Linked DNA regions of Drosophila melanogaster. The protein of the gene in region 4 interacts with the protein of the main gene of each other region in a pairwise test. Each region holds a gene or a part of one and is shown on either strand. Other genes may lie near its edges. The genes, in order: Mob2, tbrd-3, drm and inv.

The links.
Region 1: the proteins of inv (region 4) and Mob2 interact in a two-hybrid assay, tested with the Drosophila melanogaster proteins (one large-scale study listed by BioGRID).
Region 2: the proteins of inv (region 4) and tbrd-3 interact in a two-hybrid assay, tested with the Drosophila melanogaster proteins (one large-scale study listed by BioGRID).
Region 3: the proteins of inv (region 4) and drm interact in a two-hybrid assay, tested with the Drosophila melanogaster proteins (one large-scale study listed by BioGRID).

Annotation. Positions count from the first base shown.
Region 1 is NT_037436.4:11,549,057-11,556,827, forward strand, and holds the start of Mob2 (Mob2), read right to left. Parts: upstream 4,057-7,771; 5' UTR 3,774-4,056; intron 3,638-3,773; exon of another isoform or gene 3,483-3,637; intron 1-3,482. UniProt on the Drosophila melanogaster protein: Required for the normal morphogenesis of a variety of polarized outgrowths including epidermal hairs, bristles, arista laterals, and dendrites.
Region 2 is NT_033778.4:23,323,221-23,329,570, forward strand, and holds tbrd-3 (testis-specifically expressed bromodomain containing protein-3), read right to left. Parts: upstream 4,362-6,350; 5' UTR 4,337-4,361; coding exon 3,530-4,336; 3' UTR 3,519-3,529; downstream 1-3,518. Other genes in the region: CG30416 (uncharacterized protein), read right to left, coding at 1-74; CG9861 (uncharacterized protein), read left to right, coding at 558-1,703, 1,757-1,840, 1,913-1,984, 2,041-3,183, 3,242-3,493.
Region 3 is NT_033779.5:3,535,940-3,543,888, reverse strand, and holds the start of drm (drumstick), read right to left. Parts: upstream 4,157-7,949; 5' UTR 3,912-4,156; intron 1-3,911. UniProt on the Drosophila melanogaster protein: Putative transcription factor. May function redundantly with odd and sob in leg joint formation during the larval stages, acting downstream of Notch activation.
Region 4 is NT_033778.4:11,471,911-11,479,859, reverse strand, and holds the start of inv (invected), read right to left. Parts: upstream 4,153-7,949; 5' UTR 3,885-4,152; coding exon 2,591-3,884; intron 1-2,590. UniProt on the Drosophila melanogaster protein: Engrailed (en) and invected (inv) are functionally redundant transcription factors in neuronal precursor cell NB5-3 specification.

The DNA.
Region 1 (7,771 bases), on a different chromosome or scaffold from region 4:
ATGGCTTTTTGACAATGTTGTGGGAGCAGAGTCTTCTTCACATACAACATCATCTCGAGTTTTCGAGGCTGTTACAAATCCTCAAAAACAAAAACAAAAAATGGGCGGGGGCGTGATGGAAAAAAACACGATTGCAACACGGATATTTCAGCTGCTCGGTGGCGATTTAGCCCCCAAAAATTACATTTTCTTTTGTCTCGATATGTTTGGTTTCGTTTTTTAGTTTTTTTGCCTGCACAGTTTTAGCCAGACCAAAAAACTGACGGCTAGCAATTATTTGGGAGGCCTGGTGGCAAGTGTATAAATGTATCTCGAAATAATCTCGCAGAAATGGCTGCACACGCGTGCAATTAGCGGCGCGTGTTTTGCAGTGGGGAAAGGTGAGCGAAGGAGGCATAAAGTGCCTTTTGTGTGACGGAAACATTTTGCAAATTTTCACTAGCCGCTGCACTGTGCGAATGTATGTACATATATACTCGTTATGTATAAAATATGAACACATGTATTCGCGTTTATTTTGGGAAGCTTTTAGTGGCAGCCAGCACAAAAAAAAGGACTAGAAAAGCGGGGCAAAGGCAAAAAAAAAAAAAAAAAAAAAGGAAAAGAGGAGGAAAACCAAACACGGGTTGGGAAAATGCCTATGATGGCAATGCCGACAGCTGAATAATAAATTTAGCACGGGTCTTCGATTTTTCCGATTTCACATCGCTTGCTCGCTTTCGATTTGGTTCGCTTCGGTTTGGCGTTTTCGTGGCTAACACAACCAACAGCTGACATTGACACTTTTCGCTTTTCGTGTGGCCTGGCGGCGCAGAAAAATCGTTTAAGGTTATTTATAAAAGCAAAAAAAAAAAAATTATCGAACAGTCCCCAAAACACAGAAATACATAAGCCAAACGGGCAGAAATTTGCCCTGTCATAGTTAAAGATTCGTTTGAATGCGAATTTTGCAAACGCACTGCAGCAGCAATTCATCTTAGCCATCTTAGTATTGTCATAATATATCTGAGTAGATACGAAATCATTGAAAATGGTATATTATATAAGCAAAAAGAGGTACCCTGTACATTTCGATCTTTGATTTTCTATTGATATGAAGATCCTCTTTCTTCAATGTAAAACTAATTCGTTCTGTTAGTATTTTTTATATTTTTTGTGCTTTTAAATTTTAACTTTACGAAACTAATATCCCAAATTTCTCATGAAACTCTTTGTGCAGCTTAAAGCAAAAACTTTTAATTGCTTGCAGACAATACTAGGAAGCCAATAAAATGGTCTGAAGTGCGTGCTAAAAAAAAAGTACGAAAAATCGAAAGATGACAGAAAAGGGGTTAATGCCTATTGTTTTGTTTATTCAGCTCGAAACCAGCTACTGATTCCAATATCCAAAATGTTCAATTTCCGCGTCGCTGTCGCACTTAACCTTCAACTCGCATTGAAGCCAATTTGCTGACTCTGTTGTCTTTTCCCCCCAAACGAGTTTTGTCTTTTGTGCGCCCCCCTTCTAGTATCGTTTTCACACCTCCGCACACAGAACAACTGGCGCCCCATCAAAACCGAAATTTATGATGTGATTCTAGCAACGCGACGGCGAGTGTTTTTTTTTTCTTAGATTGCCCATTGCTCGCGTTTTGAATGAGCTTAATTGTTGCCGATTTGAGTGTGCTTTTCATGTATATGCAGCACAACCCGTTAAAGGTCAAATGAGCGATTGGCAAAGTCGAAAGAGAGAAAAAAAAAATAGAAACCGAAACCGAAAATGAACCCCCACCCCCTTTGCTCGCTAGAAAAGCTGGAGAATTATGTCTATGTCTGCTAACGAAAGAAATGAAAACGAGTTCCACAACTGGCAAACGACGAGCAGGAAGACGACAGCAGATATGGAAAGGGAGATAGAAGCTGTGCAGCGGTACGGTGACGTGAGATGTGCGATGCACATGCAATGGATGACATGATATACATAGTAGATAGGTGTATCTCCGTACCCCCACCACCAAACCCCATGCCAAGCCGTACAAAACCCATCCATATATATCTTCGAGCTGGTTTGGGTTGTTCTGTTCTGTTCGCTTCATTTTGGTTTGGTTTGGTCTGGAAGAGCTGACCGGCGGGCAGGCAGAGCATCATACATACATACATATGGCATAACGGTTCGGCGGAAAGGCGCAGAGAAGTTTTCGGGTCGCTAACTAACCCAGTTACCAGAGATTCATCCGACAGCGTTTATAACTGTGACTATCCTTTTCATATGGGTTAAACGATCGATTGAGATACACGTCGAATGAAAACAGTCCCAATAGAACCGAAATGCATATGTATGAATTCGATTAAATGCGATTGCTGAGTTACTAAATTAGTATCTATACGATTTTGCTGGAATTGCTTAATGGGGAAATACCGTGAGAAAAGTGTTTCATAACGGGGGCAAAACGTTCAATCGCAAATAGTACATAGATACTTTTCTATACCATTATATATCGAACTAAAATTGTTAGTTTGGATAAATATCATAGTGCTTCTTCCTAATTAGTTCCTGAGCTTACATAAATCCTTAACATCCGCAACACAGAAGGGCCTACACAGAAAACGAATCGAATTCGGTTAGATAATATCGCACCACAAAGGCTTGAATCAATTTCATTTCCTCTGCCTTCCGCAAATTGTCCATGGCAATTCAACTATGGGAATCCGCAACTAGTTCCAGTTGGCTTTGCAATTTTTAGCATGACCTCAAAAAATCGATGGATGGCCTAGCGCATTTGAGGACCCAAAGGGTTGGCGAGGGGCAGTGGTAGGAAGGCGCGGGGGGTCTGGACGAAAGGTGTGAGAAATAACAAGCTGCTGGTTGAGCCACTCGTAACTGTTGTTTTCTCAGCGTATTGAACACGTAGGCGCGTCAACGGGGTTGACAAAAAGTAGAAACAACGCAACCAGGATGTGCACGGAAAAAAGAGGAAATACTCTAGGCCCAATAAGATATATCATTATTTTAAGATTTTCACTCTTTTTATTTTTAGAAGGTATTTAAAGGCAGTTTGAATAAGGATATATTCCATAAAAACCTATCTTTAAATAATTCTTGTGAAAACTGTCAAATGAACCCTAACAATACCCCCATTTCTTTCTGTGTGGCAGAGAAAACACCTGACAATGCAGTTGAGTGTGAGGGGGCGTTAATAAGGGAGGGTTGAGGGTTGCAGGGCAGACAACCAGACAAGCGGACGAACAGACAGGAAGCTCGTGAGGAAGGAAGTTCCTGCCGCTGCGGCAAAGGAAGTGGTTAAAACAATATGGCAGTGGAGGAACAAGTAGTGGTGGAGTGGCAGTGGCAGTGGCACACCAAGCAACATTGTGAATGCCCAATGTACCGTTGTTGTTGCTGACGCTGGAGTAGCAGCTTTGCTGCAGCGTTGCAGTTGTTGCTGGTGTGCCAATTCTAAGCGCTGCATTGGCAACAGTCGCGCTTCGCCGGTTTCGCAACTGAACTCTCAGCTGCTATTGCTCCTCTGCAGTTAGTTGCTGTTGCTTCTGCTGCTGCTGCTGTTGCTGCATTGCGCGTAATCAGTGAAGCAACAAACCGTGGCAGCTAGCTGCAACAGCAACAATAACACGCCAGCAGTCGCGGCTCTGAGGAAAAACTTGAATGCAGTTTTTCGCAGCGAATGACACAGTTTCACACCAGCACGGGAAAACACTAGCACACACACAGAGAAGAACTTCTTTTCTTTCTTTCTTTTTTTTTTTGTTGGAGAACAGACTCCTTTTCGGCTTACATTTGTTCCCCTTTTCGGGATATTAGTTTGTATTGGTAGGCGATTTTATTTCACAATCTAGCATAGCATTTCACGGTGGCAATTGATGTTGCAAATGTTGCGCTGCTTGCTGCTGGAGTTGCTGTTTTGCTTTTAACTGCGACGCGATGATGTGTGGTTGCAACCGACGGCGGCGCCTCGAAAAACAATGTCAAATAATGACGCGGCGACATCAACAGTCCACTATTGACGACGACCTGCAACCGCTCGAGCGACCAAGCGTGCCAAAGGAAATTTCTACACTGAGCCAAGCCGTCCGTCTTTGACTGACTGCTGCTCGTTCGGCTGGCAACAGCAACACATACACATACACAGCGGCAACAACAGCAACACACAGCGGCAACATCAACACTCACGCAAGTAAGGAGAGAAAAAAGGCAGCAAAAGCAAAAACACAAAACTGGCAACGAAAGCAGAGCACACAGTAAAGATGAAGTGGTTGCTGTTGTTGTTATTGTTGCTGCTGATGTTGCTGCTGTCTCGCACACCAGCAACATTTGCTCTCCGCTCGAGCGCGAGGAAGAGAGCTAGAGGTATCAAATACCAGCTGAGCGGGAGAGAGCTGCCCGTGTACGTGTTTTGCATACAAATGCGCCACTCAAGCGAGACACGCACATCTATACGGTTTTCGACCACTTGTTTGACTGCTTTGGCTTTAGCCCTCTCTCTTCTACGCTCTCTCGCATCAGCTGAGCGCTCATGTTTTGATGCTCAGCAGCTGACTGCGCTGGCGTTGCCACACAGCTCGGTAACAAGAGAACACGGCAAAGTGGCAGTAGAATAGTAGCAGAATCTACTACTTTTTTAACGCATTGAACAAACCTAGGATAAACTCTATAAATAACAATTAGAAATTAATTTTCCACGAAAAGGGATAATTGTACCGTTCGTATGAAACATTTAAATGGATTTCTCATAAATATATTGCCATTGTTGATTCATTAACACATGGTTTTAATGATCACAGGTAAACGAAATAAATTCGGCAAATTTAATGGCTAACACAATTTCGTACAATTGACGCAAACATCACATCACTTATGTACTTTTACCAAGAACACTAATTGGCTTGATAACAATCTGTTCAACTAAAACATCATAGAGTTTTGTTAAAGCGCTAAACATTTATTTAATACGTTTAATACTCTAAGCATGTTATAATTTTTTTCTCAGTTAAAATGACTGCTCTAATTGACTTAAACAAATTACCTGGGATTTGGGTAAGCTCATGCTCAAGATATTTCACTCACCTGAAAGGAAAACAGAAAATAAAGAATTAAAGATATATTCCAATTTGTTATTCTCGATGGTAAGGACCTCCAGCTACGTGGTTCTTATCAATGAAGTGACCCCAAGCCCGCATGAAATAGCTACTCCTCTGACCATCAAATCTCTCCACAGGGAGTAATTATCACGCTCTTTTTCGGCCAGGAAGAAATAAAATCAGTAATCAAATAGAATGGAGCGGTAGACGAAAACCGAAGAACACAGGAACTGCATTTGCTGCCTAACTTACACAGAATCTAGACCCGAATAAGAAAACATAATATAAACGCATCGTCATTCTGCGTAAATAAAGTTGAAAACAGGAACACGCAATGCACTTAGATAAATTTGGACCGACATGTGTGGTATTCATTAAGCGAATAACTAAAAAGAATGATTAACAAAAACACAACAGTACCAACCCACATAAACTTATTTTATATTTTTAAATTTACTAGACAATTGCATTAATACACTTTTTTTCGAGTGTATCTCAAAACAGCTGTCCATTGACGAGCTGAAGAAAAACAAGAACAAATACGACTGGGGCGAAAAGGTGAGAAGCGGATAGAGGAAAAGGAATCTTGGCAGCAGAGAACGCGCACCTGTGACCGCCCGCAATGCAACCGAAACGGCGGCAAGTTCATTTGCACCACATCAAAATTTCATCCACACTATGCTGCGCACACACACACACGAAGCGTGTAATGGAACATCTGATCCGTACCGCCAACTCTATGGCCCTCTCTTTCCACCCACACAGCACAGCAACCATCTCACTTGCTCCAAAAGGTGGTAACGCTCGGCTGCTTTCTAGCGGTTCAACTGCTGCCATTTGCCATTACTCGAATTGCTTTGTGCCCATTACTTATGGCAGCGACTGTTGCCGTCGGACAGCAAAAACGGCACACGATCGCGATCTGCGGATATTGCGGATGTTGCGGCAAGAAGGTAGGAAAATGCAAAATGGTAGTAAACAGAGTTTACAGAGACCACCAGGATTCGGTACAATTAAATACAATATTTTATAGGACATTTTAAGGCATTACATGTTGACTTCTTTCAGAAGTCAGATGACAGTTTCGATCAGTTTGATAACATGTTTAAGTGCCTTAAAATACAATTTGTATATAAATGCCATGTTGCATTTATACCTTCAGTTATATACTTTTGCTCCCAATAAAAAGCAAAAAAAAAAAACATAAAGAGTTGCTCCATTGGCTTATAAAAGTTCAAACAATGTGCCGCAAAAGTTCATATGCACTAAGGGTAAACTTTTCTTATTTGTACTAGGTACATTGAACAATGAACATATTCTTTTAAAGCAAAAATTGTATTTATATTTACGCTGGAAGTAGATAATTTAATGTTGGTTATGATTATTGTTAGCATAGTATGGCAAATATATACTTTCTTTACACTGATTTCCATAATTGCTGGATGCTTTTATCGTAGCCATGCTAATGATTTCTTTATTGATCAGAAAGAATATTTTATATCAAAGTTTTACCGAGACACTAGTCTTCCATACGTTCAATTTTCCATATAAATATTAACTTGGCAAACAACTTGGTTGTTGCTGCTTATCAAACTTAATATTTGATTTATGATTACTTGCTGTTACTCCACCCCTCCCCAACCAACTTCCCTACTTAATTGCAAAGTGAAAGAGTTAAGGAGATTGTTTCCTGGTGCTCGAGAAAAATAACAAACAAACAACACAGCTGCATATGTATGCAAAGAAAATACAATTGTTCAAACTACACTTTACACTGAAAACAAATGTATCAAACGTTTTCAAGAATAAAACCCAATTAATGTTGAGTTCTACATTTTTGGCAAATATAAGTTTTTAAAGAAGTTCCTTTATAATAAAAAAGGTTAAGAAAGTAATTTTTTCTATTGATTATGTTTGATACAAGCAATTCAATAAATAGTTTACGAATATTTCTCTAAATTGTAAATTGTTATTCATCATATTATTTTTATCTGTGTACTTAGTTTAGTGTGATTTGTTTTTATTGCTGCCGTGCCTGCGATGTTGTTGTTGTTGTTTTTACAGCTCGCTTATACGTTTCTAGTTTCGCTTGGGGCTGCGATTCGAGGGGGTTGGTGCGGGGGAGTGGCCCCACGAAGGGGGTCTCGATCTGGGCGGTGGGGCAGGGGGGCGGGAGTTCCGTTTAGTCGGTCACGCCACCACATAAATAAGACGGAACAACAAAGCGTATCAAGATGTTGTTGCCAGCGTTACTGTAGTTACTGCGCTGTTGTTGTATCTGATGTTGCTGCCGTTATTATTGTTGTTGTTGTTGTTGTTGTTAGTGCTGCTTCTGCGGGTCATGCGCAATGCCAATGACGTCAGATGTTGCCATCAAATTAGGAAATGCGCAAAAACAAAAAACAGCCACAAAAAATGGCAAAACAATGAATTTGAATGAGCGCCACATAAACGAAAACACATACGCATAAACACACAGCGGTAGTTAAATTAATAGCAATGAAACAATTGGCGCTCGTTTTGTACACTATGCTTGAACTTAAATGGTAGTAAGAACCATAAAAAATCTTTCCTCTTAAAAAAAAATAAGTGCTTGGTCAGCGGAAGTACAAGATAAATGGATCAGCTTGATAAAAATGATAAAGTGATTAAAAAATTTTTAAGTAAATTAAACTTTTCTTTTCCTTATTAATTA
Region 2 (6,350 bases), about 12 Mb from region 4:
GGCTGATTGGGCAAACGAAGTTCATACCGACACCGTGGACATTGGCAGGATTCATTCATCGCTCTGTAGTCCATCGTCCTGAATCACAGGATTTGAATAGCAATTCCGGACAAGAAATCATCGAACAACGTTCAAATAGGATTCTAGGCACCCAGCACACACAATTTTTTCAGTAAAACATCGAAATGGTTGTTGTTGTTCTTTGTTTACAAGGCATACTTCGCTAGTTTTCAGAAAAACACTTTAAATAAACATAAACCAGATAAAAGATATAGCTACATCCACATTTTAATGCAGAATGGGGATTTAATAGGATTAAAACAATTACAGGTTATATAGAATCGCTTTGATTTTATTCCATTTAAAATCGAAAAATAAATTCAACAAATTATTCAATCATATCTACCTTTGACATCAATATTAGTTATAAAGCTCCACACGAAATCCAGTTTTTTGTGACCACATGTCTGACTAAGATCCTGTTTTTTTTTTTTTATTAACAATTTTCTAGAAAATAAAATTATAGAGTAAAAAATTCCGCCACATAGTGAATAGCCATGAGTTTCCAGAATAAGCTGGATGAGTACACCAGGAACTTGGACCTGGCCAAGTGGTATATGGGAATCTCGGCGAAACAGGAGGCCACGATGTCCACAATGTCCGAGAGCCTCCGGGATGACTTCGAGCAGGGAACAGGGGAAAAGATGTTCAAGGCACTGATATCCCTGGGCCTCCAGCCGGTGATATCCAAAAAGAAGATCAGCCGGATCGTGCAGTTGAGCAGGAACAACATACTGGCCTTCCTGTTCTTTGTGATGGAGGGCTACTACAAGACGAAACAAACGGATGGCGTTTACAGCATTAATGAGCAGCTGCTAATGAATGCCATTGCCAAGATCGACATGTTGCCCACCATTCGTGCTCTGGACATTGTGCTGCCCCAGCCTCCGGTCAAAAAACCGGATCCTCAAACTCAATCGTTAGCTTCCCTGACCACGGAGCGTCCACAAAAGAAACCCTCCAAGAAGTCGCCCTACTTTCTAAGGCAACCGAAGCCGGTTCAAAGGACCTCCCGTCTGACAGCGAAGATTCCCGAGTTTGTCGTGTCATTCAACTTTTGGCCCACCAATGGACCGCCCGAATATGGCACTGAGGAAGAGGAGCCTTGGTATGCGCTGTACCGACTGAATCCCGGCCAGCGACTGATCAAGAAAACCCTCTCCGAGACCCTGGAGCGTTACTTTAAATTGGCAGCAGTTGAGGGGAAGCAGGATGCGGAGGAAACCCAACAAAGTCGGGAGCCCGAAGCCAACATGTGCTTGGTGCACAAGGGTCAGGTGTTGCAGGCCCAGCTCCTGAGGGATGAACTGGCGGTCAAGGCGAGGGATCGCTGCCTGGAACTCCTCGATGTGAACGAGCCATACGCCAAGCTTCGAAAGGCCAGAATCGTGGCCCAGTTGGAGCACGACATCGACGTAATAATGGCCCGCCACCGAAACGCGATGCACTGCGACCAGACCAAGGTGCTGACCATCGAGAATTTTGACTGCGTGCTGTGCCAGCAGATGCTGGTATCGCAACCCTGGCCGGAAACCAAGGGTCAGATTGGTCGGGCTCTGGTGGGCGAGGATTGTACCGTGGCTCATACTACTGCATTCGATACTTACCGCGGAAAAAGGCTGGAGGGTGGTGCGGAAAAGCCGGTAAGTTGAGAATTATCAAATACATACATTCTATACCTAATATCCAATTAAAGAAAAAAAAGGATGGCACAGTAGCCCGTACCAGTGGAATCGATACTTGTCGCGGAAAAAGGCTGGAGGGAGGTGCAGAGAAGACGGTATGTTTGAAATTACCAAATATATTTACATTTTCCATACCCACTTTTATTTTTCTATTGAACAAAATTAAGGATTCCACAGTACCCCAACCGCCTGCAGAAAAGGGCCGCGGAAAGAGGCTAAAGGGTGGTGGAGGAAAGCCGGTGAGTGGAAAATTACCAAATAGATTAACTTTCATTACAATCTTTCTGTATTGAAGAAAAAAGACAAGAAGGGGAAAAAGGAGAAAAAGGCTAAAGTAGTGGAACCGGAACCAGAAAATCCGAAGAAGCCGAAGGTATCGCCCTGGAAGCCACCGCCTCGCAAACTCGTTAGCGGCCCCTTCCGTATCCACAACATCGACTTCAACGAGTACACACAGGTGTGTACGCAAGTAGTTGGTCCTTCGGAGTGCGAGCTTCCTCCGGCTCCCAAAAAGTCGGCCGTATCTTTTATCCTGGCCAAGGGAAAGATCGAAGGGAATGCACACAAGTGCGATATGCGCATGCCCAATAACAGGCATGTGAAAACTAGGTTCTTCCGGGGACCCCGTTCGAACAAGCCGTACCAGTTCAAATACCATCGGGTCTTCCAATCCGGCCAACCGAAACCCTTTGATCTCAGTCATATTATGGCCAAGTCTTTTGTGAAGGCGCTGGATCAGTCGGATGGGGACGAAGCCGATCCGTGTTACTTTAGGGAGCTTTTGTCGGAGATGGTGATTGAGGACGAGGCGCCTCCGGATTCCAAGTCTGAAGGCCTTCCCGAAACCGAGCCGGAGAAGAAATCGAAGCAGGACAGCCAGCCCCCGTTGGAAATCTTTAGTGACCTGGATCAGACTAGAATCTCCGACAGTCGAGAGACCTTGGATCGTTCGAGCAACCACAGTGGTCGCAGCCATGTGAACTACAAGGCGGAGATCGTGGATGCAGTAGTGAGATGTGCCAAGGCGGTTTGGCAGAAGCGTACCCTAATAAAGCGGGCCGAGATGGAGCGCATGGGCAGAATGACGCCGCGCAAGGCACTGACCCATAAGGATACGGAATCATTCGATCCGAACGATGCCGCCCAGATGGACAAGTTGCTAAAGGATGGCATGCGAGTACTCAGGAAGGAGCCCCGCTATGTGCTGGCCTGTCTGCCAGACGCCCACAAGCTGCCAGTGCTGCGGGAGTGGGTCAAGAGGAGGTACGGCAAAACCTACAGCCAGAAGGAGCTCGAGGAGAGTATAGCCGAGTCGAGCAGGATATTCGAGCTGGTCACCATCCTCCAGAGCAGTCCCGCCAGTCCCGATCTTATGGGCATTGATCGCCTGCCCAGATCCAAGGAGAACTTTAACTTCTATAAGCAGATTAAGAATACGGTATATATATATATATATATGTACATATATTTTACTATACTAAAACTATATTTTTCAGGCTGCCCTGGCTAAGCAAACATATCACGATCAGTTGAATGCCCGCTACCTAAGCATCGTGAGCTCCGCCTGGTACGCCATGGGCAACTATCTGGTGCCCGGAGGACCTCCTCGGAAGACCTTTTTCGCTTACATAGCTTCCAATCCGCTGGAGATCATGCGTAACAAGACGTGGAATGGGGATTTCCGGAACTACCGCTCCATGCGCGACAAGAGAAAGGAGCAGGAGAAGCTTTTGGGCAAAAAGGACTAGATTACAATAAATTAAAACTCTTTTTCAATCTGAAACTCAATTATATTTGGGCTTGGTGCGGGCCACTCTTTTGCCGGTGAACCCCTTGCTGGCCAAATAATCACGGATGCCGCGTTTGGTGTGCACCTTCAGTTTGCAGATGTCGAACTCCAGCTCCTTGTTGCAGTACTCGGCGCCCTCCATGCGTTGAATGAAATGGATGACGTGGAGCAGCACCTCGCCGTCCAGCTGCTGAATCTTGGCGTGCAGATCAAGGTCCTCCTCGGTTGTAAAGGGCTCCTGCTGCTCCGAAGTTTCCAAAGTTGCCGGCGGAGTCCAATCGGGGGTCGGAGTACATTCGGTGGTTGGAGTACATGAGGGGGGCGCACCCATTATGGAGGGGGACACCTCCGAGCCGTTCACCTCGTCCTCCGGCGATGATGAGTCCGATTCATCCGAGGAGCTCTCTTCCTCGGCACGCACTTTACTGCCGCTGGAGCAGATGTAGAGCTGCACCTGGGAGTACATCTCCTCAAAGATGATCTGCAGCTGTTTGGCCATGTGGTAGCACAGGTGATCGGGATTCGTGTACAGATAGGTGTTGTAGAAAATCAGCCTTATGTCTTTGGCGAAATCCGCGGCACTGAGATAGCAACCCGTATTCAAACGATGCCTCACGGTGGACAGATCCATGGGTTCCCGGACAATCTCATGGTAATCGTGGAGGCCCAGCAGTTGCGGATCCAGTGGCTCGTAGAAAACCCAAGCAATATTCTTATAGGTACTGGAAAACAACCTTTTAATAATCACCTTGCAGGCATTAATTTCCGGCGAGGACCGTTCAGTTTCTTGTTTTGCAGCCATTTCAGAAAAATATCTTCGATATCGACTATCGGAAAATTCTATTATAATTTCTATCGTTTTGACAACTTGAACGCAATACAACTGACAATATTCACACTCCGGGTTGCCCTGTACGATGATATTTTTAGCTTATGAAAACTTTTAGGATTGCCACCTCAATCCGAGCAGAAAAGTCAATCCACAAATGCGGTTTGGGGCAACAAACAAATTCAGTTAATTATGCAAGTGGCTCCGGCCAGGAAAGTATTTCCATACATTTTGTGTGGGAGTGCGGTCCTTTGTGGGAATGCTCTGCCTCAATCCTGAAGCTATGATGGTTAATCTAATTCCGAGACCCGTACAAACAGTCCTTTTTTCGGTAAACGTATTTAAAATCCCCATCGAGCTGTGGGGGCGAAAATATTTATGGTCAACCGCTGACGTTTGCTATTTTAGAGTGCCGAAATATTTCGTTAGCATAAAAGTTTTGTTAGGACACACAATATACATCATTTTTGGGCAAATATTTGCAGGGCTTTCATTTGGGCAGTCAACAAGTTGGGTTTACAAAAGTTAAATCGAAATCCTGTTTAAAGTCACTCTGTTAAGTTGGCTTCCACAGGCATGAGGGGAAATCCTGTTCCTGTGGCTCTCTCCCTCTGTTAGCTTGCGATCCACAACTGAGAGCAACCGATTTACGGAGACCTTCATTTTCTCGCTGTTAACTTACCTGCCACAAAATGTTGCAAATTGGGTGGCAATCGGACCAGGTCTTGGCCACATCTTGGGGCGCCTCTTCAGTCTGCTGTTGGGCCTTTGGGGGAATGGTCCTGCGAATGGGTCAATTGGGATTGCACTCCACTGACCCACTTGCGAATGGGGATTCACCTCTGGGCATCATCTGGTTCGGATGTTGACCTTCAACCCCAAGTTTGGAGACTTTACACATAGAGTTTGCGAAACCGAAAGAAAAAGAGATTAATCTTCAAAGTATATTTAAAATATATATAATCAAAAATACCAAATAACAATATAGATAAAGTTATACCCTATATCTGTCATATATCCACTTTTTCGCAAGATCATTCGCTTTGGAGGCATCTAGACCTAGAATAAATTGATATGAGTGATATTTTTATGCATATGTGTAGCTGAGAGCCCTTAGCACACGATTCCCTTTGATCTTGTCGATATGTCAGCGGGGCAGAACTTTACTTCGCATTTCACGGCAAACATTCCGCTCTCTATTGCCGATTTCCAGATAAAAATCTTGTTCGTTTTTCACATAAGTAAAACTGCGACACTCAATCAGTTGGCAGATGAAATTATACACCCAGAGACTGGGCCAGGTGCTAAAAGGATCGCCAGGGGGACGCAAAGGAAACGTGTGAGGCTGTCAGTGGCAAGCACATCCCTTTCCCCCAAACCCACTTGCCTCGCACCTGCGAACGAATCCCTACCTGGCCATCCCGCATCCCATTGGAACCGGGCAATATATGGATAAATATAAAAAAAAGGGCGGCAATATGAAAGCCCTGCAGAAATGGAAAGAAGGGAAGAACCAGCAGACGAGGACGCCGAGGAGATATGAGAAATGTACATTTGGACAGGCTACACACGCTGCCCTCGCACGGCACAGCGATGGAGAGGGGGCTATTCGAGCGAAAGAGACGGCGACAGCCAGTCAGATGTCAAACATTCTTTTGACACTTTGTCATAGCATCTCCCGGTGACACTTGTCAGCAGTCGGATTTCGCATTTCGGTGGAATGGCTGTGCCGCAGTTGATTTATACTGCCATGCATATGATATATATGTGTGTAAATATATACCTATAGGTATGTACGCGATTGTATCTTAATAGCATTTACTTATGCACCGCCCGAATTCAATTTAGCTAATGCAGCAATAAGAGTCCATTCATTTACCGTTTTCTGAGTATTGGCTACAAATTAACAAAACAAAGTTGGGAATCACTTGATCAGCTATTGAAGAAACCATTGAACTTGAACTCTAGTTTAAATATCTTTATTTCA
Region 3 (7,949 bases), on a different chromosome or scaffold from region 4:
TCCCGCCCGCGCGGTAGTTAACAACTGTTATTTTTTATGTAATTTTATTTTTGTCATTTCGGCGCCGCTGGATCTCTGACTTCTCTCCCAGGCCTTTTCTTTTCGGGATATATATTTCCCAGATTTACTGGCCTTTTTGTTTCGCCCGGCGTATTCGGGAATTTTTCTGCGCGAAACAAAAGCCAGCGCTGACTGGTAGCGACAAGCGTCTCGGCAAGACCCGATTTCGATATTTATTTATATGTTATGGTGCTTTCAGCTCGCAGCTGGAACACTTTTGGGACTGCGACTGCGACCGGGACTGGCAATGGGAATCGAGATTCGGATTCGGAATGGGATTGGGATTGGGCATCGGAATGGGAATGGGAATGGATGTGGAAACGGGTTCGCTTTGGTGATCGGCGGTCGGGGAGCTAACGTTGACAACAAAAGGCAAACGTCACAGCGGGTGCTGCACCGGCCGCAGACGGTACGTAGTTATTGTCATTATAACATTAATGCCCACTAAACATATTCAAATTATAACACTGAGCCGCGCTCAAGTCCTGCACTCAGAAAAAAAACGTCTTCTCGTACTAAAAAGTAAAAAGTAACCGCGTGGAACAATGCTGGAAGGTCATATGATCTATATTTTTAAGATGTTATTTTAAAGATAATAATGAAAGCAAGTAAATAATAATGAAAGCAACTTTCAAACACTTTGATACCCCGCTTTCGCCCAGTGGGTGAGGTGCACGGGTTCGGGCCTGGGTCGCTGATCGCATTGGTCATGTCTGGTGGGAGACTGGGACTCGGCTAAGATCGGCTCAAAGGCCTGGCCAAAAGAGACTCCTCCAATGTTAATTTGTGTACACAATGTGGCGTCACATTGGCATTTTAACGCCGTTAATCATGCGACACAGGGCGCCTGCATAAGGCCATCCATTCGATATGGATTCTTTGGGTCCGGGTCTCTCCGCCTCGATCGGTCTCGCATTTGGCCATGCTTTGCTTTGGATTTGGACTCGGACTCGCATTTGGACGTGGACTTGTATTAAGTTTGTCTCTGGGAGCGTGGGCCTAAGTGGAGCACCATTAGCCACGGGTTGCTCTCCGGGGTTAAGCACTCTATTTGGCCATTTGCTGGATGCGTCGAATGACGATGGAATTGTCTTCAGTCTGGGGATGGGGCAAAATGGGCGGGGGAGACCTTCGAGAACAGTGAAATTCGAGCTGACAATTGAGTGAGCCCATCAATTTGGAAGGTTAAGTTAGCTGGCCTGGGGCATTCCAATAATAAAGGTGTCCAATGGCACATGGTCTATCCATATTGGTAAAGTCAATCTCATTATATTAACTCAGCAAAACTGAAAGGTAAAGCATCTTCCTACAGTTATAATCCTAATCTTTTGATCAAGTTGGTATATCCTTTTAATCCGTTGAAAATCCAAGCAAAACAATCATCCGAATCCATCTAAAAACCTGTGCAAAGTCATGGCAAATCCAAACGGGCTTAACTTGGCACCTTCTCCGATCCGGGACTTTAAACGGTCTCCAACTGTTAGTATTTTGCAACTGGACATTACAATCCGCTTATGCGAAAAACGAACACCCACAGAGACGGAGGGAAAACTGCCCAAATATTGTATAATAAACTGTTGTCCAACTCAAAGATAATCCCATTAATCCGCACTGAAAATTATTAGTGTTGTGCACACACACATAGTTTCGGACAGGAAGGTTGAGATGTGAAGATCTGAAAATCTGGAGATCTCTGGGAGATCTTCAGCACAGCATGATCCTGACTCTGGACTTTGGGTTTCCGTGTGAAGGGCATGCGAAAGGCGTTAATGCTGCGTGAAATTAGATTTGCAGCGATGGGAAAGAGAAATAAAATGGCAAACTGCAAACAGAGAGTGAGATTATATATGGCCAGATCTCTGGTAAGAGAAGTAAGTGCGTCGGGGGCTTCCACGAAACTCGAGCCGCCTCGAGAGTTACAGTTTAACACCCCGAGATAAATGTGTAGCGGTATGGGCGATAACAGGCTCAAAACTGGGTCCAAAAAAAGGGCTCAAAGCAGTGACACACACGTCGCAGGACGTGGGATATGGTCGAAAGCGATTACCACACTTCTTTCACCTCGCACCGTGGTCATCCCTTTATTTTTTGTAGGAGGCGGACAGTGAGTTGGCAAGGTGCCATTAAAAATTACAACCGAAAAGTGAAAAGAAGAAACCGAAGCGAGAAAAAATGACAATAAAAGGACATAAGGCTCTGAAGACAAAGGCACCGAAGTCCATTTGATACGAATCTAATTGTGCTAATGGCGCAGAATTCCCGGGAAAAACACCCACACACACGAGATCCTGGCCTGACAACAGAACCAATAAGTCGGTGGAAACAATTAGGATGTGTGGCACTGCCACTTCAGTGCGAACAAAGGAATACCTTCGTAACCCCAAACACAAACACACCACAAGATACAAAGATACAATGCGGCAAGGTATGAGCGATCTTCCCTAGATCCATCGCAAATCGGATGGGAATTTCGTGGCCGAAGCAAGTCGATTTCGGACGCTTCTCACCTTCAGCCCGTAAGATATGACAGTTGCTCAAAAGTCGGCGCAGATTAGCTGCCAGCTGAGCCCATTTACCGTAATCGCTTAGCTAATTAGACTCTAATTGATGGAGCGCAGCGGGAGGTCCAGACGAGGTCAAAGATCAGACAGACGGGAAAGAAATGGTCGCGGGAAAGCAGTAAGAATTTCAGAGGTCACGAAACTCTTACAACAACTTTACTTCAGTATAACTATGTTAAACGAATTTCCCTATATTGTAAATGTTAGTCCTACTTCCAGAAAGTTCCCCTAGAATATGGGTTCTGATTTCTGCGATTTCGCACCAGATTCATTGGAATTTTCGCACAAGTGCCAAATCTCAGGTATTTCAAAGTACCTGACTTTGACGCAACTTTTTGAACATCTGTTGTTAGCTTGAGCCGTACTCATTGGTATTTCATAATCCAATGAAAAAAGCACAACTCCATGACTCATAGGCAAATAACTTGTACCAAAACGGCTGATGATGATATGCCAAACATTCTTGGCGATGATTTGCCGTGTTTTGTGCGTCCGCGATCAACCTTCGACAAACTAGGCTTTTTGTTCTTAATGCTGACTCATTAAACTTCTCAGCTTCTATTCTTTCAATCTGAAAAAATGCCGACGGCTTTAAGAGTTTTCAATTCCTAGACAATTTCAATGGAAAACGACTGAAACCTTTAAAAATAGAACAGGTTGAAAGTTTAGGATACAATAAAAACTTATATTTGTTCTGAAGAGAGCTCAAATGTTTTTTTAGACCAACTTTAATAGAAAATAATATTAAATAGTTTTCTTTTCGAAAATTAATGAGCATTTTTTTATGAGATACAAATTATTTCTTCTTCATTCATTTCGGAAATTAATAACACATTTGTACTATACAATGAGAGATCAATAAACTCGGTTGTATTTCAAGTAGATCACCCATTTTGGGGAATTCGTGTCAAGAAGTGCGGGTAAAAACTTTTTACAGTCCAATAGGGAAATATTCGGACTTGGCGTCCGCCATTTTGGCAAATGGCGACACTTTCTCACGCACACAGAGGCCGAAAAGCTCCGTTGGCCACACGCATGCCATATTAGACGCATCGCCCCTCTCCCTCTGGCACACTAAAGAGCCGAAGTGAGAGGCCCGGGCAGAAAGAGAGGCCGATACACGCACCCGTGTTACGTGTGGGGTTTACTTCTTCTTTTCTTTGCTCAGTTTTCAGTTGTCCAATGAAAGCGGCGTAAAACTGGTAGCGAAACAAGTGTGGAAGGGGGAAGAACGACGAACAGAAGAACACGAAGAACGCCATTGAAGAGAGGAGCTGAAGAAAGACTTACCCAATGGGATGCACTGGAGTTACGCGTTCTTCGGACTCGAGTAGAGGCTAACCGATTTCTATAGCTGAGTTTTGTGCGATTTTCGTATGTCCGCTGAATGGATAGATCGATTTGTATCTCTTTTGAAGGTACTCGCGAAGGAAATGTTACTGATGTTGTTACTGATACTGTTACTGATGAGAGGGAACTATATACGCACGCTCGAGCGGCACAAAGTTGAATGAATGAATGCTACTAATAACTGAAAGAAATAGTAGTCGCCTCTGCCGCCGTCCTCTGTCGGCGTCGCTGCCGGCGTCGCTGCTGGCAAGTTGAGGAAGCGAGATCATCGCTCTGTCCCTGTCTGTTACTCAATTCGGTGGCACTGTGTGAGTGTGTGTAAGTGTGTGTGAGTCATCCGAAGAGAAACGAAGCAAAACGAAGACCGGTAGCCGAAGCTACTGCTCATGCGCAGCGCTCGCTAGCCATCCCTTTCGCTCGCCCTAAGTTCTTATGCGTAAGTACAGAAGCTGGCAAACGGAAGCCACAAAATGGCGTCTCTTCTAACGGAAGCCAAGCGTAAAAGTCACAAAATGGCGTCACTTACCTATTGCGAAAGCACGAAATTCCGTTTGCTATTTGGCAAGACACAAATTGTATGCAATTTCTGTTTGGTAGCACTGTGTTGGGTAATATTATTAATAAAATATATTTCACTTCCGAACGCTTCTGTGCGCGAGAGTCAACTGCAAAGTTACGATCGAAAACTTCAGCTTGATGGGTTGAACTTTTTCTGTTTTCCTTTTTTTGGTTACCCTCTTTTTTACAGCCCTCTCTCGGTTGGCTGTCCCTTTCCCACGCACTGTTTGGGTCGCGGAGAACGAGTTTTGAGTGTTTCAGCTGATTGGTCGGAGGAAAATGAGCTAAAGAGCGAACTGAGAAAACTGGAGAGTGAGCGAGCGAGAGAAGGCTACCTGAGTTGAGTGGTTTCGAAGGCGTTACCTGAGTTGACTGTTAATTAAGCTTAAGTAAGCCAACATTTCAATTAAGTTTAGGCGACTAATGAGTGAAAGGTGTGCTGGATAATGCGGGCTGTAATAAGCTTGCGATTTCTTTGGATTTCCTCGGACTTCTTCTCTGTCTTTCTAGCTGCTGTTTGGCTAAAAAGGTAACTTTCTTTCACTTATACCTGTGTATATTTTTATAGATGTGGGCGTGGCTTTGGGCGGCGCTCTGTCTGTCCCACTCTTTCGCGCCGTCTCGCTCGCTCACCCCCTTTTTAACTGCTTCTTAACCCGTTTTGCGAGCGAGCGAGAGGCCAAATATAAAAACCAGTGGCAGAGCAGAGCAACCGTATTACGCAGTGCTCAATTTTTAGTGTATTTATCTTCTTTTTTTGTGGAGCTCCATTTTGTTTTCAGGGCCTGAGAAACTTTTTTCTCGCATTTCCTTTGGCTTTGCCGCCTCCGCCTTTGTTGTCGCTCTTCTGCTTGTGTGGCCTCTTTAGACCCGAAAAAATAATACTACAAAAACACCATATTGATGGTCTGTTTATCTTTTGTGCCTCACCATATCTGTTTATCTTTTACGATTTCTCAATGAAATCTGAAAAACTGTGTCGTTCATTCAGCAAGAAACTTCATTAACTTAACACCCAGTGTTTTTAATTAGGTGCGCCAGAAAAGGATTGTTTTTAATTAAGTTTTCGCCTGTCCATAAAGCTTAACAAATTATTTTCGACTGCTTTTGGGCATTTTTAAGTGCAATCCGTTGGCAACTCCACTTTGATGGCTTCATCTCTGTCCGCCTCGCTTTTGTTTCACTCCATCTGTGTCCATCTGTCTTATTGTTTTTCGGATCAAATTTGCATATTTTAAATGGCCAATCAGCAAACTCGAAAAGGAGACGTATCGACAATTGTGAGGAGCTTCCTTTTGAAGGAGAAACTAATTATGAACCCTCCAAAGAAGAGTCTGAAAAATGACTTGGCTTACTTGGCAATTTTGAAGACTTTGTTTTCAGAGGCGAGGAATGTGATGCAATATTTCACTCGATGTTGAAAGGTTGTTTGGTTCACAAAGATTATTGTATTTATTATCATAAACAAACAATAATTTGACCTTCACATCCATATGTAGTCATTTTTTTTTGGATTTTCCGCATCCTTTACTCATCTATCATCTTCAAATAATCTGTCACTTAAAAAGCCCCTAAATTTTTGACAAATACCTCGCAACTTTCTCAATCTAACAACAAATAAAGTTAGGGCCAGCATAAATTCCAACGACCCAAAACTTGTGCGCCAGACAGTGCACACAAAAGTATTAAATTTCATTAATTGCCAATATTAAAAAGGCAAACAAAATCGAACAGTAAAAAAAATGAAGATTGGTGAAAAATTAAAAATTCATACGGCAGCGATGCGGTCACATAAATTTCGGAGGAGGCAACAAAGACTACAGCTAAGAAAAGGCAGATGCAAAAAATTATAATAAATATATACGCGAAGATACACGGATGAATCTGTGGAAGCAGGCAAATGTCGAAGACGTGGGCGTTGAATGGGATCCGTCGGGGTTTTTTCGGATTCAGTTTTTATACTTTTTGGTTAATAATAATGAAACTGGACCGCAGCCACCGCAGCAAGGCGTTGTCAACAGTTGGCGACGATGATGCCGATGAAGCTGATGATGCTGATGATGTCGCTGGTGCTGATGATTCCGGTGATGACGAGGCCCCGACTTGCCTCCATCTTAAGCTCTTCATTTCTTCATTTGGCACACGGTAGTTGGCTGGGCTGTCATTTAGCTCCAAGACTCTGGTTCTCTTCCAAGGTGTGCGAGTGCTAAGAAACTGGGTGTATCATCTCACTGAGGGAAAGGCAATATAGCTTACAAGATTTTATGTTAATATGAACAATAACTAAGTGTAGTTTGACAAGAACTTTTTTCTTTTAAGGGCAACTAGGCTTTCCTCGTGGCGAAAGGAAATGAAGTGCACTTTGTAACGATTTTCTTCGAGTGTATCCGCTCCCCACCAAAGTCGTGACTTGATTTATTTTTTTGGCCCAGACTGGTGTGTTTTCACATAAATCTGAATTATGGTCCGCTGGCTCGTAAAGTCGCTGGGTGATGTGTCTATTTTAACAGTTAGTCGGGGGGCGGAAACCGAACGTCGAACGATCTATCAATGAATCCGCAGCTGAATGAAGTGGTGGCCCCAAACAAAACTTGATCGGATCCTCATTTGATATGCAGCTTCGATCTTCAGTTTGTATGCTAATTCTCGTGTCGTTCGGTTTTCGGTTTCAGATCGCGTCCATTGTTCATTTTTGGCTGTTTGCCGAGCGGTGTTTTATTTAATTTTAATTTTTATTTCGTAAATTTTAATTTTGTTGTCACTTCTGTGGGAGCAGGCGCGGTTTTTCCACTCGCCCATAGTCGCAGATACGCATTGTTTTTTTTTTTTTTTTTATTATAATTGGGTGCGGTTCGCAGTGGTTCGGTAGTATTTCTGCAGAACTCCATGAGTCGATCCTATTGTTCAGCTATAAAAAACAGTCGCACAATCGCACGAGGAGCTCTCTTTTTTGTGAGGCAGCCGCTATAGAAATTAATAAAATTTATGGTTTATTGGGAATTCTTGTTCGTTTTTTCGGTCATTAATTCGCCATAAAGAAGTAGGCAAAGTGTGTGGCAAAAGCTTTTAAAGTGGGCAGACAGGCGGGAATCCATTGTTCAAATGGATGTTGTTCGTTAGGTTTTTAAATCAATTTCGAGCTTGATAGCTTACTTAGGAGCTGTGCCTCGAGATGAACCCATTTAGTTTTAATCCCCGAATACTTACAATTTATTTATTTGATTCGGTTTCACGCTCAATGGGTCAATTGATTTCAATAGAGGTTATTTACCATATAAGCACTCCGCCACTTGACCCCAAGCCCATAAATGCATCCCCACCCTGAAATGGACCATTGTAACTCGGCTCTCATAACACTTATCGCTGACCAATTGATCGAAAAAGGTGTCAACCCATGTCTCTTAGGTTCTCAAATTGGAA
Region 4 (7,949 bases):
TGTTTAAGTCGAAGCAAAAAACATACCACATCTTTTTATCAGTGGATTGAGTACACATTTATTTATCCTTTAGATCTAACATAATTAATTGCTACATCAAAGCAGTAAATAGAGCCACTCCCACTCAGGCTCATGCTCCAATAAAAATCATAAAATATGGCCTGGCAATTATTGAGATTGAACGCAATCTTGTATCGATTATCAAATGCTTTTTGTGGTTTTAATACAATGCCATTAATCTGCATCGAAAATGGCGCACAAATAGACGGCACATATGCAGTCCGACAGCTTCCCATATGTTAGCCATATATCATGTGGCCCACAAATGGCCGTTAAGTGCAATTAACTAATTTGTTGTCGAATGTACGTTTTTGGCAACTGTTTTAATCGCCTACGCGCACACGGAATATGTTGCATTAATTTGTCAAATTAACACCTTTGTTGTGGATTATAAAAACTTTGAATATTTTTTCCCGACAACGGCAGCAGTAATTTTTCAAAAGCAACAAATTTATGACTTTTATTCGAGCTGGCATTTTAATTCGCCGATTTTGTAGCTGACTGGCTCAAATCTCACGCTAAATCATTGTTTGCCATAGCAGCTGCAGTCACAAGCCAACTCCGTACATATAGCCCATATAGCGCATATAGCCACTCCGAAAATGATTCCGAATCGGAGGACCAGCGACGCCATCGCCTACAACATTCATTCAAATTATGGAACCGCACTGAGATCGAGATCTCGTTTTAGTCACGCTAAATTTATACAAAAAGCGCTTGGAAAAAAACCTAAAAATGAAACTGAGAAAATGAAAAAGCCACCACAACAATAAACACACCTTAAAACCTCGGAGCGAGTGAGACGGGCGACTGCAGAGCGAAAGAGACGGCCTGTGTGGAGGGGAGCAACCAAAATCGTTTCGAGTTAATTAGCGAGCGCGACAAAACCCACCCAAAAGCGTAGATTTATGCACTCGGTATTCGTTTTTTTTTTTTTTTTGGGGATTCAGTAACGAGACTCCCCCAAAACTCTCTAAATAAATATGAGTTTGACATCCATCAGCGTAATGAGTAAATTGCCAAGGAATTATTCGGATCCGAGTTTATTTGGGCCAAGCTTCTAAGTTGTGTAATTGGGAATCAGGTAGTTAGAAGGGACGACTTTTGATGGATGAATTACAATTATTTACTGATATTTCAACGTTACTTTCTTCAAGCTGGTGTATTAAGATCTATAAAACGTGTGGATAATTGGCTAAAAACTGTCGTAAGTGCTTAAACAGCTGAGCTCGGCAATCTTACAAATTGCATTCAATGATACTTAATAAAGCAATTAAATTTAACTAGTTAAAGATAAAGTAACTCTCGTAATTATATGCCCATTTAAGGCTGATATTGTAATTGAATAATGCTATTGTCAACTACTCTGTTGAACACCAAAGTTTAGTAAGGTCTTAAACGTTTTAATATTGTGTTATAATATCAAGTATCTGTGATAAAATGCATTCAGTCTATTGAGTAAACCTTTGGCAATTCATTACCGATAATAAACTAGCTGAGCAAGCTAATAAAGGTAAACACCTTAACCAAATGACTGCCATCAAGTGGCTTAAATCACTCTCCATTCGCCACTTGAACCACATGATCCATGGACTTACCCGAGATTCCAGGGGATTAGCCAAAAACTATCAAGGAATCCGAATTGCTTGTTCAAACAGCAATAAGCCACCCCATAAATGAGCATATGGGGCACTCCCACCCATCCGATTCCCCCCCAAATTTCAGCCATGAAATTATTAGGCAAACGATTACGAATTCCCTGCGGTGGCATAAACTAAATTCATGAGAGTGCCATGATTGCTGGGAGATTGTTTTGGGGTTGTTCTCGACGGGTTGGGGTGGTGCTGCACACACAAAAACACACACGGGGTGGGTGGGGTGTAGCGGCATAATGAGCTTAAGTTATGTTACATAAGCCATAAGGACATGAAAACCACTCGAGCAGACACTTCACTTCGGGGTGAGTGTTCGCCTCCCTTTCGCTCGCACTCACTTCATTTCGGTGGTTGGCAAACTAATGAGCTGTGGGTTGCTGTGGTTTGGCTCCGTTCGCCGGCTCTTCTGTGGTGTCTGTCGCTTGTTTGCACAACCGCTTTATGAGCCACCACTCAACAGCTCGTCTCCTCGAGTGTGTTTGAGTTTGGAGAAAGAGTGAGTGACTAGCAGTGCACTGCTTTAGCATAAGATGTAAGATGCTTTAGAAAATGCAGGAAATATCCATAGAAACATATGCAAGTAAATAAATTTTGCCAGGATCTACTACAGAATATCTATAATAATACTGGCATGGTGCTGGAGAATCGTATGTTAACGAGAAAACTTGAAACCAAAGGCTTTTCTTTCAAGCTTATGAAGATTAGTATTCAAAACACCAAAACGTAATTTCATAAACTATATTTGCATTCACAAAGTTCATAAAAAGTACGTTAAACGTAGAAATATACAATATTATTTCATCAATATTTGTACTTATGTTTCGCTAGACAACTTAGATAACTGAAGCAAAATTTTTAAAGAGACTTGGACTCACCTGAGCTGGGACGATCGCTGTAGCGGGTGCAGTAGACCCACGCTGGCCAAACGATGGGAGTGCCGGAATCCTCGCCCGATTTACCGGATGCTCCTGTGGCACCCGCTCCTGCCGCTGGCGGTGGCGACTTGACCAGATCCACTGGTGCCCCCGAGGTGTTCGTCGTGCTGCTGCTGGTGGCGGTGCTATTGGAATCGTTGCTGTTGCTGCATATATTCGCCAGCGAGCTGGAGAAGCTCAAGCTCGAGTTGGCGGCGGCGTTACTTTGAGCCAGATTCAGTGGCTTTCCCGACTTCTTGGGCGCCTTTAGGGGAGATCTGTTGCCATTGGTATTTCCAGAATTTTTACTGCTGCCAGTACTGCTCCCACTTACACTGCCACCACCGATATTGCCACTTAAAGCACCAATCTTGGGCAATCTGGAACCAAAGTCCGCCTTCAGGATATTGTCTATGCTGAATTTGAGCGCCCTTTCGTGCAGATTTTCATTGTTATTCAGGTGATTCTGCATGTGATGATGGTGGTGGACCTGATCCCTTTGCAGTAGCAATTGCTGATGGGGATGCACCGCTCCACCGGGTCCCAGACCCAATGCCGTGGCCGTCAGCTGAGCCAGTGCATCCTGACCGCTGGGCACTGTGGCAACCGCCGCCGCCGCCATTGCCATTTGCAGCTGTTTTCCCGCCGCCGCTGCCGTGAGAGCGTTCACCCTGGCGGCGGCCATTAGATGCATCTGCTGTTTCATCAGCTCCTCGGCGTACAGCTGGGACTTTCGCAGGAACTCCTCCTGGAAGGTTCCAGTGGAGGGAGGCAGTTGCAGGAGATCTTCGGGTGAGAAGGGCGGACCTTCGCTGGGCGGCAAAACAGTGGTAGCAGTGCTGCTGAATGCCGACGGTCGATAGATTTGGCTGATCAAAAGCCTCTGCCTGGCCTGAGCTTGAGCGGATAGCGCAGCCTGTGCTGCTTCCGATTGTTCCTGGCCCACACTCAAGACACTATTCTCACTGCAGCAGCTGGCCGGATCCTCCAGGTCCAAATCGTGCTCCTCCTCGACCTCTTCATCCTCTATGTTCAGCTGCTCCTCGCACTCCGTCTGCTCGTCCTCCTCCTCCTCCCGCACTTGGGGCGAGTTGCCCGGCTGGACAAGCGGCAAGGGCAAGCAATCCGGATGCATTTTACCTACTTCCTGGCCACCTCCGCCCGCTCTCCTCTCCTGCGCGTGGTCCTCTGCCTCCTCTAAGGAAGGAATAGTCAGCTTGAGCGGGGGCGGTCGAGTGCTGGCCAAGGTGGACATCAGTTTGAGGGCTTAGGTCTTCAGCTCGAAAGTTCACAGGGACCAAAAGCCGACGGCATTTCAGGGCAGCCAGAAAGCATTAAAAACATTAACCACAGCCAAAAGATATCACTTGGATTGGCAAATACGCCGCGCTATCGTCTTCGATTGACAATTGGTTTTTGGGTTGGGTGATAAACTTGTCGATACCGACGTTAATCCGCTCGTCCGTTAAAAACGTAACGTGCGCTGTTACGAACCGCCGACCAACTGATTCTCTCGCGAACTGAATAGCAAAGCGAGACGGCTGCAGCTGAGAGCCGATTCAAAAAGAGAACTCTCTCTCGCACACGCTCTCTCTCACTCTCCGTCCTGCTCTGGCTTTTCGAACATCCAATCAGCGGCTGCGGGGCGTGCCCTACTGTTGTCCCGCTCGCGCACACGGTCAGCCGCCTGTCAGTTGAGGTTATGTTAAGTGTTTGTATATTTGTTAATTAAGTGCGTCGTCGCCGCAAAAAGAAAAAAGCGAAAAAGAAGGAAAATAGGGATAAGAACTCCACTCCATTTCCATCTGCGCCTTGTCGTTTTGATTATGCGCTGCAGCATTTAAGTCGTAAATCTCACTCTATGTAGGCTGCTCTCGCCCTCCTCCTCCATCATCATCACTTCACTCCCCCTTTCTTTCGCTCCTCTTTGCGGTCTGGCATCTGCAGTCCTTTTTTGCTGGCATCCTATCCGCCGTCCAGCATTATATACCCACACACACATATGGAGTGTGTGCCTGTTTATATACAACACATGCCACAGCTTCCCCGTCTCCTTCACTCCTTCGCTTCCTTTTACTTATTGTTCTTGTTGCTCCGATACAACGAACATTTTTGCGCTTTTTGATGTCATTGTTGTTGTTAGCTGCGCTTTATAAATCACCACCACAATTTTTGTTGCCCCAACATCTGCCGTGATTTCATAATTGCTTTTGATGCTTTTTTGTCGCCGTTTTATTGTTTGTTGTCGTTTTGCCTTCACACATCCCATCGGACAACATTGATGATAGTTCTGCGTAAATGAATACCAATACGTGTGCAATTGCATACGCTTAATCATGGGCGTAGATTCAAAAGCACTGGGGGGATAATGATCAGCTTGCTGGGTTTCTACTGAACACCTTGTCCGGCATTTAAAGACCTCTTAGTAATGCCAAAATAATTGTAATTTAAATTTGGTCCCACAAGCTAATCAATCTGATATCAATAAAAAAATCAAACTTTGATATTCATGATTACTTACATAAGACATTATTTTTAGAATTTAAGTCACTTCGTTCATGTACTATGGAAATTATCCTCCATTCCTGACCAATTTAAGTAGCCCCTTCTCCCGCCAATGAAAATTTGACATACGTTTGCTTGGGCTTGTCTAATTGGCGAACATACTGCATTGTTGCTGTGCTTTGTGCTCATAAATCTGTATTTAGCTTTCCTTTCAAGTATTTGAGACATTTTTGTGTGTGTCATGTGTGGGGTGAAAACGAGTTTGCCTTGTTTGAAGTGAGGTTGTGCAGGGCATGCCGATCACTCTTTTAATTAAATCAGAAAACTTTGTTGTAGTCCACGAAAAGATTTCTAGGAATGGCTGCATTCATTTGCATCATTTGCTGCGGACCTCTTTAGTGACACAGCCGAAATCGGTTAATGTATCATATTTCATATCTGAAATCGACTATCAAAGTTGCACCTTTTCTCCGTTATCGCCGACAGATTGGACATAAAATATCGGAATTCCAGCGATCTTTTTATCGCTGCTGTTGAACCCATAAAGCCCGAATCATGGAGTTTTTCGGGCTGTCCGCGCTTTATTATCGCTTCGAATCGTATTGGTGGAACCACGCCCCGAAATGCAAAGCAATCCAAGCCAGTTTAATAACTTTGTTGCACCATTACAAAGAAGCCAATGCCAGATGCCGACACTGCGATAGTATAAGCACCGACAAACGAATTAATCAGGCTTAATTTCCAGCCCTCGACAAAAGAAACAATTATACGCAGTATGATTAGGAAAAGGAATGGAGTACAAGAAAATAGTTTCATACAGTCGAGCTTCTGTCACTTAACCCTTACCATTTATTTGCCTAAAGACCCGAACATTACCTAATACAGTATAATTCGCTTAGCTGCCTCGAGTACTTTGCACAATGCCTCGATGCAGGTAACTTAAAAATGCAGCTAACTTAATTTTTTTTTTTTAAGGAAAAATAAAGAATTTATTTCTTTATAACAATGTTAAACATAAAAGGAACTGATAATTTCATTCTTAATGATAAGTAAGATCGACATATAAATTTAAGTGATGGTGAATTGATTAAAACACTTTTTAAAACTAACTTAAAAATAGTCAGTAATTTTTTTTTTGCAATACAGCTGAGTTTATATGTAAATTAAACAGCTTGTCTTCCATAGAATTCAAGTTTTGCAAAAACTCATCATTATTGTTTCGCATAAAAATGGACTTTAAAGCCTTAATTGCTGCAAACCCATCCTTAAAAGTAGGACGCTCAGTATCGTCCACATCTTCATCACTATGGCTTTCTTCGTTATCGCTGGTTTTTGCATCTTGAACTAAAGAGCGCACGATTTCATCATCATCTAATTGACCATGGCAAGCCTCATCTGCATCAACATTGGCATATTCATTCCAATTAATATTCGATACAATGTCAACTTCTACGCATTGTTTGTCTAAGTCGTGCGCTCCTTTTCTTTGACGCTTTCTTTTTAAACCTGACGCGGCCACAGCTTCATGAATTTCATTTGTTTTTTGTAAAATGCGGTTGACTGTGGATCTGTCGCATTTGAACTTGGCACAAATTTCCTTTTTGTCCACTTTGTTGGTCACTAACTCGATTATTTGAAGCTTTTCCTTTAGTGTTAGTCCAACGACACGCTTTGTTTTACCCATTTTAATAACTTTGTGTCATAAGAAACAAAAACACAAAAATCACGATCAAAGCAAAAACAAAAACGGACATGCGCAGATACTGAAACGAGTTGGCATTCTTGCCATCTTTTAGATATGCAAAAATGATTCATAGATGGCGCAGCTAACTTTGATGATATTCATTGAAATTGGCAAAAAAAACAGCTGATATGATGCACTTAAGTTAAAAAGGCTGTTATCTGCGATGCAGCAAACGTATGAATTTTCGTACAAATTTTCTATTCACACAAAAAAATGGAAAAATAATGCAGATATCTTGCCGATGCAGCTAACTATCGATGCAGCTAAGCGAATTATACTGTACTGATCATTACCACTGTTTGCGTGACTTACCGCTATCGTAGCTCCAAATTTTAATGTGCTAAATGGCTGTTTGAGTTACAGAAGTTTGACTGTGGTAACCCAAGACCACGAATTATGAATAAAATTAAGCGCAATTGCTCAAAATGTCTGAAAAGCCAACTGATTTCACCCGTTCGCTCCCCTTCACCCCAGCCATTACCTGCAGATTCCATCCGAAGAGGAGACATGATTAAAGCCGCGCACGAAACGCTTTTCACATAAAAGACGCCGCGGAGCGTAAGGCGATCTCGCTAGTTAATCGCGCAGAAAATCTTCATCAGAAATGGACGGAAACCGAAGGCAAGCAAGAGCAACAAAAAGCTTCGCAGTAAAGTTACTCAAACTAAAATAAATACAATCAAAACATGAAGCCTACAACGCAAGCAATAAGTAACAACGACAACACAACGACAACGACAAAAGAGCAAAGCGCGCCGGCAAAACATTACAAGACTGCCCCTCTATCTGCCTCTCTTTCCCGCCGCAGCATCAGCTCCGCCGCCAACAGCAACAACAAATAGCATAATCGCGTCGAGTGAGCCGGCTAACTCCTCCACCGGCCGCCCCTAACAGCTCCCCACTGGGCGCACAATTTAGATGCGCGGCAATAGATAAACTTAAAGAGGCTTTTATTTAAACAAAGCGCAGCAGCATCGCAAGAAACGGCAATGAAGCTGCTCACTGAGGCAGACAGAGAGTGAGATTTGGGCTCCTGGTGGAGCGGATCTACCAAAACGGAGGTTGGGGCGA